Caenorhabditis elegans: one gene and its partner. The protein of the gene in region 2 interacts with the protein of the main gene of each other region in a pairwise test. Each region holds a gene or a part of one and is shown on either strand. Other genes may lie near its edges.

Region 1 (5,931 bases), on a different chromosome or scaffold from region 2:
TATAGTTCTGGATTGCATTTTCCCTTAGTGCTGAAAAATATATGTACAGCTTGCAACGTGTTCAATCATTTCCAAAAATTCTGTAGAATGTATTTTAATGTAGTCTCAGTCAAGAGCGAGTCACGACAACTCGGTTCAAAACCACTCCTAATTTTAATTATTATTACTATTATAAAAAACCTTCGAAAACCATAACTAAATGGCTTAAAACAATTGTCGAAAAAAAAAGCGAAAAAAATTTTTTTTAGAAATGGTTTTAGACCGAGTTATCGTGACCCACTTTTGACCAAGAAATTTTTTTTGGGAAGTATCGTGATAAGTACACTTCTTTTAATCATCAATGATTTTGAACTAAAACAATATTGAACAATTTATTTCAAAAAACAATTGGATTGGAATGTAGCAAGTATGTACGTCGAATGATTTTGGGAGTGAAGACAGCAAGGAAAGGATTCAATGGGCATTTCAGAATAAATTTAAATTCATCGAAAAAGAAATCGATTAGATGATGGAGATTTCTTAACGGGAAGAAGCGACCGTCGTCTGGATGTGCGAAGCCTTCTCAATTCCGTGACTATTGTACAAGAATGTTTCAACTTGTCCTCCTTGTCCCCATGATGGGTGAGATTCCATCACAATTGAGTCTGGTGGTGAGTTAATTCCTCCTGAATTGCGTCCGTAGATCTGTAATATTCCGGTTTCAATATGATATCTAATTTTATAATAATTAATACCTTAAGATGTCCGTGTTGTTGAATAACTAAGTGAGATGGGAGACGGAAAACGAAGGCTTGAACTCCATCAATAACACGACGGATTTCAAAGTTGCTTACATCTTCGGCCTGCAATTTTCCAATTTTTCATGTTCAAAATAAAAATAAAGATCTAAACTCACAACTGATCCACTGGTGTTTTCAAGAATGATGTACTTTCCTTGTGGATCGCACTCAACGATGCTCACATTTCCCTTAGCGTGTCTCTTGAATGAGGAACGAGTTTGAACCTCTCCAGAGTCCCAGTGATCTTGCTCGACTGGTACCAATCTGTAGAATTTAATATAACAATTTAAAATTAACGGGGATAGATTAAGCTGAAAGTGCATGTTTTCAGCTAAAAGCCTTGAGATTTGCTGACTAACAAAAATTGTTAGCCAAGAAAATGATAAATAGGTGATGTGAAAAGTAAGCAGTGTGTTGAGATAAGGAAGTGCGTGAAAAAGAGAAAAAGTGCAAGTGAAAGAGCATGAATTGTGAAAGCAATTAGCTATAAACTACTGTATCACTACGAGTAACCTTTGATCTGAAACTAGTACATTGGTACCTCTGCCAATTTGATGTTGAGATGATCTATGAAAACTATACTATGAATAACTAATCTACAATCTAGGATACCTTAAAGTTCCTTGCGGATACACTCTGAAAGGTATTACATATAATATATCTTGATTCTATTAAAGATTCCTACTCAGGATATTGCTGATATTGATGACTGTCAGAGTATTGCTGATCATTTAAAACAACGGGAGTGGAATCCCCTTCTGTTCTGGAAGTCAACTAGGAAATAAAACTAGATTCTAAATATCTACGTGTGCAGTATGTTAATGTCTATGAAGCGGTTATAGCTACCGAACCTTGTAGTCTCCTGCTGGGCGACAACGACCCCCTGTCCAACATGAGTGAATCTGTGAAAGTAAGGAAATGATAAAATGGAAGAATGAGACAATCAATTAAAGTATATGTTGCTCTTTTTGAGAGATATTTTTGTTACTTATATTACCTTCCTTCCTCGGACTCGACAAGCTTTCTGTAGATGGCAATCTCAGTATCCAAAGTTTGTTTGGTGTTAAGAAGAGCTTGAAGTTCAGCAATCAAAGTCTGGCAGTCTTCACGCATAAATCGGAGGGCATTGTCTCTCTTGTGAAGCTCTGATTCGTAAGCTCTTTGATCTTCTCCGAGTTGAATCTGGAGTGTGTTGGCTTCTCTCTCCAAAGCAGAGTTACGGGCTTCGAGCTCGCTGAGCTTGGCTCGCAATGTGGTGATGCTCTCGTTCATCTTTCTGATCTCCTCTTGACGGAAAACGGCAGCCTCGTTCTTGGAGACGATTGATGATTCGACGGCGCTAATCTTGCTCTGGAAGATTGTCTCAAGATCAACTCTGGTGGTTTGGATGATCTTGTCGTATTCAGCCTTGATTTCTCTGAAATAATTTAAATTAGACAATAAAACTATATCATTTTTTTTGAATCCAACCTGATAGCAAGAGCCAATTCATTCTTGAAGAACTCTCTTGTGTCGGCTGGAGCTTGAGCAAGAAGAGTGCGAAGCTCAGTGATTTCTTGAGAGTGGATTCTTCCCAAGAATTCCAGCTCAATCTTGAGGTCATCTTCCTCAGCTTGAAGGCGGCGGCGATCAACAATTGCGGCGTCAAGCTCATCCTTGGCGGCAGCCAATTGAAGATAGAGTTGATCTTGTTCAGCATAAAGTCTCTTTTCCTCGTCCAAAATGGCGGCATAGCGGGACTTGTTTGTGTCAAGCTCAGCTTGTGCTTGTGAAATAGCTCCTCCCCAAGTGGTCTTCTCACGCTCAACTTCACGACGGGCCTCTTCATATCTGAAATATTTGCCATTAGAATGGAATATGCAAATAAATTGTTACCTGTGTCTGTAGTCATTCAAATCATCTCTCAATCTGTCGACCTTAACTTCAACTCCAATAGTTCCAGAATGAGCTTCTGAGATCTCACGGCGAACTTTGACCAACGAATCGTTGAATTTGAACTACAAAACGTTGAGTTTATTATTCTGATGCAACATTATTAACCCCTCAAGATCAATTTCAATTAATTTTATTGGCAATCTTAACACACACATACACACCCATTTCCTCCAGAGCACTACTTGTCATCTTATCAGTGCCATTTTCAGTTTCTCTTTTAAATTCCTTACGCCTGCACATTTGGCAACGGGCGCTTTGTTTGAGAAGAATTGATATTATCTGATAAGAGAGAAATTGTGTCAACAACTAAAAGTGTTTCAGATTCTCCTGTAATTTCGGGGCACAAACCTTGATCTGTCCGATGTCATTTCCAAGTGATCCTCGGAGGGTGTCCAATTCAATCACAAGCTCCTTGTTACGATCCTCAAGTTGACGGACACGGCTGATGTAAACTTCAAGGCGAGAGTTCAACTGCTGCATCTCTTGCTTCTCGCGCTCGGCAGAGGCAACGAACTCCTCAGCGGCATGGCCGGCTGAGACACCTGAAATATTATGTAAACTGTGTTCCGATGTTTAAGCAGTGCTCCAAGAAGGACCATATTTTTTATTGTTATAAACTAAATTTTGTGAAAGTGTCTTATTGTGAAGGGTTTGGAAAAAGCAATACAAACTCATTTTTTAAAAATTAATTTAGTACGAATATGTAAAACAAAAGTCTGAATAAACCTCTGTTTTCCAAATTTTTTCACAATATTAAAATAGAAATTTTAAAAAATAGAGTTAGTTACAGCTAATGTTGTACTTTGAGATTTAAGATATACAATTTTCCGTGTTATATACCGTTTTTCCTATTAGTCTTGCACTCCCACTGCTTCATTTTGACAGCTCATATTAATTGTTGTAGGCTTCATCAAAATTGTTTAATTATAACAATGTAGAGTGATTTTAGTGTTGAAAATTATTTGATGAAATAATAACAATCGAGATATGATTTGTCAAAGTAATGCAAAGCAGGAGCAGAGTAAATTGGTTAAATGTGGCATATTTATTCTTTTTTTTTCACAATTTGGGCTAGCAATCAGAAAATTCCTACTTATAAGAGTGATCTATCTTGTCATAAACAATCTGATTTTTCACTGAAAAGTATTATATGCTACCATCTAGGAACAGGCCATTTTGCAGTTTGTCCCTACGCTGCAGTTCTCGTCTCAATTCTTTATTGATATCGTGAATTAAAAGTTAAGATCGAGTTTAATTTGTCGAAACTTATGGTTTTATTTAAACATCAGTTATTTTAACTTAAGCCCATAATCTAGAGAAACTGCTAGGATTAGTCGGCAATGTGTGAAAGGAGTTCACAACGGTGTCAATAAAGCCGACAAAGAGATTTGAAACAAAGAAAAAGATTGAGACAATGGAGGAGATCAATTTCAGACAAACTAGTGTCACCATATTATGGATTCCTCGGAGAAAACTCTCGAGGTCGTGTGACTGTTGGAAATTTGAAGAAAAGTGCTTACCTCCGTGTGATGAGGAGGATGTAGTTGTGGTGGTTCTGTGCATCGAATAACTAACCGCCGACATGATGAAGTCGCTAAAATTTTGAAAATAAAACAAAAGATGTTAATAACAAAAGAAGATAAAAATAAATAGAATAAGAAAACAATGTTATTTTCACACTTTCAGCAGTTAAAAAACCAACACCAATAATAAACGTTCAATCTTCAAAAAAATAAAGAGTCTTAACACCAAACCGTACAAAACGCGGAGTAGTAGGTTTGATTTTACAATGGCATTTTGAGAGAGCAAAGAAAGAGGGTTATCAGTTGGCAATGCTCGATTCCACTCTCTTTTATGGTGACTTATCAGTCCGAGTTTAGAGATGGAAAACGGAGGGGAGGGGGTGAAAAGAAGAAAAAAAGAAACTACTCTTTCTTACATTCTTTGTATTTATGAAACAAAATGACATTTGACTGGGAATGATGAGGAAGTTGACATTTGAAAAAAGGTGTTAAGAACCGCAAAGTCTGAAACTTTTTACTAGAAACTATGACGAATGAAATGTTAATAAGGTTACAACAGAACATAATCGGCAACAATGGAATATTTCAGAACTGAAACATTTTGTCTTCTAGATTCCTTTCAATTTAATTTTTAAGGATTTACAAATTTATCTGGATTTAATTGACAGAATATTTTCGCTTGTATTGTCATATTCAAAAATGTTTAATTTTAAAAATTCTAGAATTTTGAAGATGTGAAGGTTCAATCAAAATCTCTTCATCAATTCAATTCTCTCTTAAACTGTAATTCAAAAGCTACAAGTATTTCCTGAAAAAACTTTGTTTACTCTTGTTGTCTACTGAACTTGAGGTGTCTTATCTTAAAAAGACCATCTGTGTTATTTTTCACAAAAAAACAGCTACAGTAATTCCTTAAAAGTTCATCGCAATAATTTGATAACAACAAAATAGGTGAATCTTGCAACAGTGAACGAATTCCCTTGTAGGCACAAAAAACTCGAAGGTTACCTACGCGCTGTCTTGTACCTCTAGATTTTGTGCCAAATTGCAGACGAATATAACTAGGTAGGTAGGAAGACCTACCTACCGGCGGAGCGTAACTTTTCAAGTGTTCTGGTTAACATTTTATTCTGATTAAAGAGTTTTGTGAGTCATAAAACCCTTGCTAAAAAGTTCTTAAAAATTGTGCATTTTCGAAATTGAAAAAGCATCGAATTGAAACTATGATTGGAATTCCAAAATAATTCGAAACATCGCTTTAATTATTTAACCTTTAAAAAACTAAAAATCAACCACACCTCTTCTTTTTCAAATATTAAAGTCCGCGAGCTGCTAATCAGCATGAATTGGAATTTTGAAATTTTTGGAAATACAGTGTTTTGTTTTTTTAATACAATTCTTCCGTTTATGCTTCTTTCTCATTTTTGTGGTCAATTACTTTATAAAATTAGCCAAAGTATGAATACCAAAAAACAGGATGTTTAAAGAATTTTGCTTTTGGTATTCTCTACAACTCCATACATCTTGCTCAGTCCTCACGACTAGTCTTTGTACTTTCATTCAAACTTCATTTATCGTGTTCTTCATTTCGCATATTCTCTAACATTTGTTTACAGATGTGTGGCAGGCTTGGTTGGAACTGATAAAACAGCGTACTCCAATTCCTAGTAGAGCTCAAGTTTCCTTATCGTTTT
Region 2 (7,669 bases):
AGCGATCCTAGATACCTGAAATGTCAGATTATTGAATTTTTTGAGGATTTATTGATTTTTGTTAAATTATCGATTTTTTCACCACGTAGCACTAACATGTTTTCCGTTGAAAACCAGCGTCGTTCGAAACTTCCGCACCACGTCATCAGTATCGCTCGCCGGCGGGCAAAATGTGAACACAAGCTCAAGTCGGAGGCATCTGAAAAATCGATTTTTTCTGGCTGAGTGGGCGGATTGCCACCTACGCAATAACGGCAACAATCGCGTCGAGACCTCTTTCAATCGATATGAAAACCACGTCGGAGCCGGTGATCGCGCGGCAATTTGAATTCCTGAGAATTTCCGTGAAATTATCGATTTTCTCGAAAATATCCTCCGCCGGAATTGTCGCGTTGCAACCCACATCGATAATTTTCAAATTCCGATTGATTTCCGTCATTTTCTGTGAATGTTTTTTTTTGGGAATTTTTCGGCATATCGATTTTTCCAGTATATGTTCAGCGCTTTTTCGCCTTAAAAGTGTGTGTGAAAATAAAAATCAATAAATAAAATAGTTCATAAAATAGCTAGTAGAATAGTAGAGACCATGAATGATATTGCCGATAATAGTGATAAATAGGCGAAAAAAGTATTTAATTAAAAGCCTAAACATCGGTGACCGTCGCGTCGATTTCAGATTCCAGCACCATTTGTCCCAGCTTCTCCTTTTCCGTCGCATATACCTCGTTGGCTTCGTTGATCTGAGAGAAAAATGGTTGAAACTAACGAAAAATCGATTTTTGATTAAAAAAAAATTAGGCAACTTTTTTAAAGGGAGTGCACCCAGTGGGGAAATTGCTTTAGAACATGCCCATGGGGTCACAATGACCAAATATCATGATAAAAAAATTCGAAAAAATTTTCTAGATTTTATATGACTTTTTGAAAATTGGAAAAATCTCAGTTTTCCCCTAATTCCTTTTTAAATTTCCGCCAATTGGATTCGTTCGGTGGAGCACACTTGCATTATTTTTATTAATTTATTTTATTTTTCTCATTAATTCACTGATTTTCTTCATTTTTTGTGTATTTTTATCGGAAAGACAAAGAAAAATGCAAGATAATTGCAAATTGCTCATTAAAAAATCACTGAAAATGCGTAAAACTGTGAAACATGCTAATTTCAGGCTTGTTGTCGTCAGAACTCATAGTTTTAAAGCTTTACCCGTTTTCAGTGATTTTTTAAACAAACAATTTGCATTTATCTTTATCTTTCCGATAAAAATACACCAAAAATGAAGAAAATCAGTGAAATAATGAGAAAAAAATAAAATAAATTAATAAAAATAATGCAAGTGCGCTCCACCGAATGAATCCAATTGGCGGAAATTCAAAAAGGAATTAGGCAAAAACGGAGATTTTTTCAATTTTCAAAAAATCATATAAAATCTAGAAATTTTTTTTGAATTTTTTATCATGATATTCCGTCATTGTGGTACCATAGGCATGCTTTAAAGCAATTTCCCCACTGGGAGCACTCCACCTTGAAACAAAAAAGCTATATTTTCTTTAAAAAAATTGAATTTTCCCGCCAAAATTTTTCACCGAAATTTTGAATTTTCGTCGCTTTTTTTTCCGATTTTTGTATAGATTTTGTGAGATTTTGTGAGATTTTTCACATTTTCACGTTCCGTACCAAATTCTTATTCGCATAACGTGCGGCGATAACTGTCATCTGCACTTGTTGCCATTGATATTTTTGTTTTTCGGCGTCCGGTAGACCTCGGCGTACATCATATCGATAATCCAACTCCATTGGCATCATTCCTTCAAGTTTCTTGCTCATTTTCACATCGGTGCACCATTCCGATTTTCTCGATTCGGGTCCGTGCTCGGTTTGGAGCATTTTCAACGCCTCCGCTTCAAACGCGATTTCCTCATTTTCAGTCATTTTTCGGCCAAATTTCAGGTAGTTTTTATTGATTAAATCCACCACCGCACTCCAAATAAGTATGGAAAACGAGTCGAAATACTCGAAATTGTCGTCGAACTCCATTTGAACATCTTTAAATGAGGGTGGCTGCCAAACATCTTGCGCTGTAAGCCAGTCGACTCCGCGGAGCTCGTCCTGAAGCTCAATTGCCTTTTGAACCATTATTGGGCTCTGAAAAAGTGCGAAATTAAACATTTAGATGTAATAAGAGAAAACAAAAAAGAATGGGCCGAACCGGGGATTGAACCCGGGACCTCTCGCACCCAAAGCGAGAATCATACCACTAGACCATTCGGCCACGGTTTCCCAAGCTTCTTGGGTGTGTAGACATTTCTGTTGAACAAATTCCGCAGAAATTGACACATGGTGCATCATGTCTTTGCCTCCTGGGAAGCAAAGTTTCGCGGCCGAATGGTCTAGTGGTATGATTCTCGCTTTGGGTGCGAGAGGTCCCGGGTTCAATCCCCGGTTCGGCCCATTCTTTTTTACACACTTACAATCTCTTTCAAGAACTCTCGCTGACAATATTCCTCCATATCCATTCCAGCAAACGTCGTTTCATCGGCTTCCGCCGGCACTCTTGGTGTATCTGTCACTGCTGCCGACGCCGCCGCCGGCGGCAAATTGTCAAAAATCGATTTAAGCCGCGGTGCCGGCGAGTTGTCAAGCAAGAATCCCGAATCGTCAGCGCTATCATTATTGCCACGTGGCTCCAGCTCTTCCTCCAGGCTCTGTTCGAATTCATCGTGATTCACAAAGCGTTTCGTCTCGTCTTGCTCGTCCTCCGGATCTATGATTAGGCCCAGTTTTTCGGGCTCTTTGTGCTCCTCAATTTCATGCTCAAATTGTGTAGCATTCGGGTCCTCCGATCCACCGGATGAGTCTTCTCCGTTGTCTGAAGCGACTAGAGTTTCCGGGGATTTGGAATCAGAATGCTCGGAAACCACTTCCTCCAGATTCTCTGATTCTGTAGTGACTGATACCTCAGACACCACGGGAATCTCCAATTCCATGGATTCAGATTCAGATTCCTGAGCTTCCATCGATTCTCTCTCCTTCTTAACTTGCTCCAAATAGTGCGAAAGTCCTGCAGAAAGTCGCCGCGCCGATTCTGAATCCAGAGAAACTCGGCCACTACGTGGCGTCGTCTCTTCCACAGTGGACGGGAAGCTTATATCAGTCTTCAGACGGGAAAATGGCTCGGCGACAGTCTCCAGGCTCTCATTGTGCAGTGAAATGCTATTGAGCATACTATCAAACTCGGCAATCGTCGACACGGGCGCCGTCATCGAAAGTGTCACTGGTGGCCGCTGAGGTTCGGCGGAAACTTCGGCCAGCACCGGTTCAACCACAGGCGGTGTAGTCTGCGAGGACGAGTTGTGTTTCTCCAACAATTGTGAAAGATCCAACGGTTCAACACCAATTCTTCGGGGACTCGTCTGAGTCATTGCAGACTCGGCGAGCCGTGACGTCATTTGTGTCGATGCTTCTCTCATTGAAGGGGGCGGGGCTGCGTCCGACGATGATTGTTGGTTCAGTTGTGATGATGGATTGATCTACAAAAATCAGATTTTTTGAGATTTCTTGAAAAGATCCGCCTATTTTTATGAAATTAGCCAATAAAGGGGCGGGGTTTCATCCGCCTATTTTAAGCGATTTGAAATTCTCTTAAAATAGGCGGATTTTTAAAAGAAATTTGCCAAAAAACGGCTTAATTTACCTTAACAGCTATGCTCTTTCGACTCGTGTTAAGTGATCGATTGAGACTTTTGCTGTTTCTGTGCAACGTGGCGACATTTCGAAAATGGTCGATTGTGATCTTCATTTTTCGCGCCAATTCCAGCATTTCACGGGCGGTTTGAATGTCGAATTCGCGAAACGGCAACGCCATCCAGTTGTCGATGGAGCGCAAAAGCCGCTGATTGTACGGATCGCCGGAGAATGGTTGGCTGTAAACAAAAACCTTAAGAAGCCAAGATATGGGCGCGGAGCCTAAAGAGCAAAAAAATCAAATTTTTTCTTGGAATTTCTACCTTGAAACGAGTTGATGTATAGCCAATTGTGCTTGAGTAAGCTTATCAATTCGATCCTTTAATTCCTGAATGACCGCCCGTTTTTTTGCGTTCTGCGTCTCCACTTCTATGAGTTTCCGTACAGCCTCTGCTTCATTTCGTCGTTTTTTTGCCTCTTCAGCAATTATTGGTGATCTATTAGCGGCCGCGAGATTCTGTAAGAACTTTGGCGACGGTTATGTAGATCAAACATCCGATTTTACGCGCAAATTCAAATTTCAGCAAATTTTTGGTAGGAAATATTAATTTTTAATTGTAAGTGTGTGTTTTTATTTTATTTTTTTAGAATTTTAAAGTCTTTCGGTGTAAAAATTCAATTTTCTGTCGATCACATGCTGCAACTGCGCTCTGGTGCTAATTTATCATTGGAGCGCATTTACAGTAAGTTTCAGCTCAAAATTGACAGAAAAACGTGATTTCTGCTCAAAAATCTGGGAATTGAGTGAAAAATTAAAATTTCCCGCCGATCGCATGTTGCAACTGCGCTCCAATGTCAAATTCGCATCAGAGCGCACTTGCATTATGCGATCGGTGGGAAATGTGAATTTATACAGATGTTTTTTTCATTTTTTGACAATTTCGAGCGAAAAATATGGATTTTTAATTCAAAATTGGCGAAAAAAATCCAATTTTTCGGCGGAAACCCCCAGGAAAAATCGGGTTTTACTGATTTTTTCGAGAAATTTTCCAATTCCTGTACCTTGATGCTCTCCAGCTTTGTCATTTGACGTTCAACACCAACAACAACTCGATCCGAATACTGTAGCTGAATTTGATGCGTCGCGACGAGGGTATCAACATATGAGGTGCGACGAATCGGTGTTTCCGTGGTTTTTTTCACCAAAGGCGACTCAATACGTGGCACACGCGGCTTCAAAGTGTCAATCGGTGGCGGTTGGGATGAGCTACGTGTCACTTTGGCTCTGGGCTCCAGCTGCTCCGAGCTCTCCTGAATCGTCTGCTGACGGGCTTCATGGGGTGAGTGGCCGGAGATCATGAGCTCCTGCATTCTTGAAAAGTTTTCCTCCATTTTCCGGCTCAGACAAGACGTGTATTGCTCTGATAACGGGGTTCTTGGCACTGAAAATTATGAAAATTAGGTTTTTTTTTGAAAGAAATTCAAAAAATTACAATATCTTGGCGGTTTTGAAGACACCGGCGTCGCATCACTGCTACGTGGCTTTTGTGACTTTTTCGACGTGGATGGAGTGACAAATTCGTCATCGGCGGGCTCCGGTGTGAAGTATTGATCGCTGGACGGGGAGGCTTCTGGGGTTGCGGAGTTGCGGCGGCGGGCGATTCGTAGATCACGAGCTTTATCTTTAAGCCGACGATCTTCGTCGTAACGTTCGTAGTCTTCTCGTGTTGGTTGGGGGTTTGCTGGAAATTTAAAAAATTTTTTAAATTAACAAAAAAATTTCAAAAAAACCATTTTTCCTCATTTTTCCCCAATTTTTTCCCAAAGAAAACCTACCCATTGATACAAAAACCGGCTTCTCGCCTTCCTCCATGTTTTCCTTGTTTCTGAAACTCAGAAAATAAATAAATGGTTGCCATGGGGAATTTCCCCCTGCTTACCTTATTTTTTCGTGGTGATCGCGATATTTCGGCTCGAGGAGCACACTTTTCGCGGGTTTTTCGTCGTTTTTTGCGAGCCACGACTTGAAACTGCCCTTAAATACAGGAATTTTCGACATTACGCGGGGAAAATAGTGCGAAAAATTGATTTCGCGTTTGAATTAAAGAATATTTTCGCGGCGACGCCAGTGTGTGCAAACACCGTCACGCGAAAATGCAGACGGCGAGAGAGTGTGGGGAGACGAGGAGACGCAGGGTTTTCTTTGCTGTTTCTTTGTTGATTAATTGCAGATTTTACAGGATTCTCGGGTCAAAAATAGCGGAAAAGTGGGAAAAAAAACTTGAAAACCCTTAAAAATCAGTATAAAATTGATAAATTATTAAATATACAGCTTCTAAACAGTTTCAAGTCAAAAATCAGATTTTTCAAACTAAAAATGATTTTTACCATTTTTGAAACCAATTATTATTATTAATTACCCAAATTCGATAAAAACTCGCTCGAAAACCGAGATTCCTACATTTCGCAAAAATTTCAGTTCCGAAAAATGCGCGCGTCACGCTTGCAACCGGTAGGACATGCCCACTTTTCCGTGCGCGGTCTGCAATTTTTATCCGATTTCAAAATTTTCTGTAATTTCCAGACAAAGAAACGTCCACTTTTATTATTCCAAAGCGGAAAATCATATAAACGGGGGCTTTTTCTAAACAAACAGACAATTTGGGGGCGGTGGGGCGGAGTCAACACGAAAATTTTAAGTAAAGAAAAAATTGGGATTGAAAATAATAATAATATGAATATTGAAGTCGAAATGTGTGCAGGAAAGGGGCGGAGTATAATTTAACGGGGAAAAATTGTAGAAAACGGGGGGCGGAGAAAGGCAATGAAATGGGCGGTGCTTAAAAACGGGGGCGGGGCTTATGTGTGTGAGACATCACAAAGATATTTAAAAATCGGGAGAGATATGAAAATTGTGACTTAAACAGAGAACGGGGGACCCGATATATATATATTTCATTTTCAACATTTTGAAAATGAATTTGTTGAAATTTTGGGAAATTTTTGAAAAAAAATCACATTTTTTGAAATTTTCAGGAAAAAAAGTTGGAAAATTTTAATAATTTTAGCTTGAAATTTTATTAGAATTGTTTGAAAATTCAGATTTTTGCAGATTATTCCCAAATTTTGGTTGAAAAATGGCTAAAAACTCAAAAATAAAATCTACCAAATTTCAGAATTTCTTAGAAAATAGTGGATGATCGTATGAAAATTTGTGAATTTTGGCTAAAAACTCGAAATTTTTGATAATTTCAGCTGAAAATGAACTAAAAAAAAAAAATGTAAAATCCGCAAAAATCTCAATTTTCTAACAAATTTTGCCTGAAAATTCGATTAAAATCGCCAAATTTTAAATTAAAAATTTCCGGGGGAAAAGGGGGAATATTTCACAAAATTGGGGAATTCTTGGGGGCAAAAAAATGGAAGAAAAAAAACTCGCAACATTTCGAAGAGGAACACATGATAACAGGGAAATTATACCAGAATTACGTAAGGAGAAGAGAGATTTTTTGTTTTTTGGAGAGAGAGTTGTTGTGTGGGGGAAAGATTTTCAGAATTGGATGGAAGGGGTCAAATTTGAATATTTTTGAATGAGGGGAAAGCAATGGGACAAAAAAAAAAGGCAAAAGTGAAGGAAGAACTAAAAATATTTCAATTCATATATAAAAATGATTGAGCGGTGATGATGATTATGATTGGAGAGAGGAATTATAATTAATAACAAACAAAAAAACAAAATCAACGATAGAATTCTCGATTGATTCATTAGACGTTTATTTCTTCTTTGGGACGAATGTGATGGGCTCTGAAACAAATTGGATTATTTTTGGGGTTTTAAGAGAATTTTTCAAGTTTTTGGGATTTTTAGGACAAATTTCCAATTTTTTCTGGTTCTGGACTTTTTGAAGATAATTTTTCGGTTTTTTTGGCATTTTTAAGATAAATTTTCAATTTTTTTTTGGACTTTTTGAAGATTTTAAAAAGGTT

The links. Proteins that work in one complex are often made in the same cells at the same time.
Region 1: the proteins of rsa-2 (region 2) and ifb-2 interact in a two-hybrid assay, tested with the Caenorhabditis elegans proteins (one large-scale study listed by BioGRID).

What each region holds. Positions count from the first base shown.
Region 1 is NC_003280.10:5,748,567-5,754,497, reverse strand, and holds ifb-2 (Intermediate filament protein ifb-2), read right to left. Parts: upstream 4,299-5,931; coding exon 4,235-4,298; intron 3,257-4,234; coding exon 3,063-3,256; intron 2,777-3,062; coding exon 2,655-2,776; intron 2,610-2,654; coding exon 2,250-2,609; intron 2,197-2,249; coding exon 1,777-2,196; intron 1,682-1,776; coding exon 1,631-1,681; intron 1,543-1,630; coding exon 1,465-1,542; intron 1,416-1,464; coding exon 1,392-1,415; intron 1,044-1,391; coding exon 896-1,043; intron 843-895; coding exon 735-842; intron 685-734; coding exon 520-684; downstream 1-519. Other genes in the region: F10C1.8 (LTD domain-containing protein), read right to left, coding at 1-18. UniProt on the Caenorhabditis elegans protein: Cytoplasmic intermediate filaments provide mechanical strength to cells. Not essential protein.
Region 2 is NC_003281.10:11,061,628-11,069,296, reverse strand, and holds rsa-2 (Regulator of spindle assembly protein 2), read right to left. Parts: upstream 5,819-7,669; 5' UTR 5,742-5,818; coding exon 5,623-5,741; intron 5,569-5,622; coding exon 5,519-5,568; intron 5,425-5,518; coding exon 5,176-5,424; intron 5,125-5,175; coding exon 4,745-5,124; intron 4,209-4,744; coding exon 4,006-4,208; intron 3,922-4,005; coding exon 3,693-3,921; intron 3,529-3,692; coding exon 2,470-3,528; intron 2,460-2,469; exon of another isoform or gene 2,372-2,459; intron 2,271-2,371; exon of another isoform or gene 2,199-2,270; intron 2,144-2,198; coding exon 1,676-2,143; intron 741-1,675; coding exon 645-740; 3' UTR 538-644; downstream 1-537. Other genes in the region: W09D6.1 (AMP-dependent synthetase/ligase domain-containing protein), read right to left, coding at 1-15, 97-199, 246-439; spat-2 (Protein lilliputian), read right to left, coding at 7,456-7,487. UniProt on the Caenorhabditis elegans protein: Recruits rsa-1 and, thereby, phosphatase let-92/paa-1 complex to the centrosomes. Recruits sys-1/beta-catenin to mitotic centrosomes during the first embryonic cell divisions.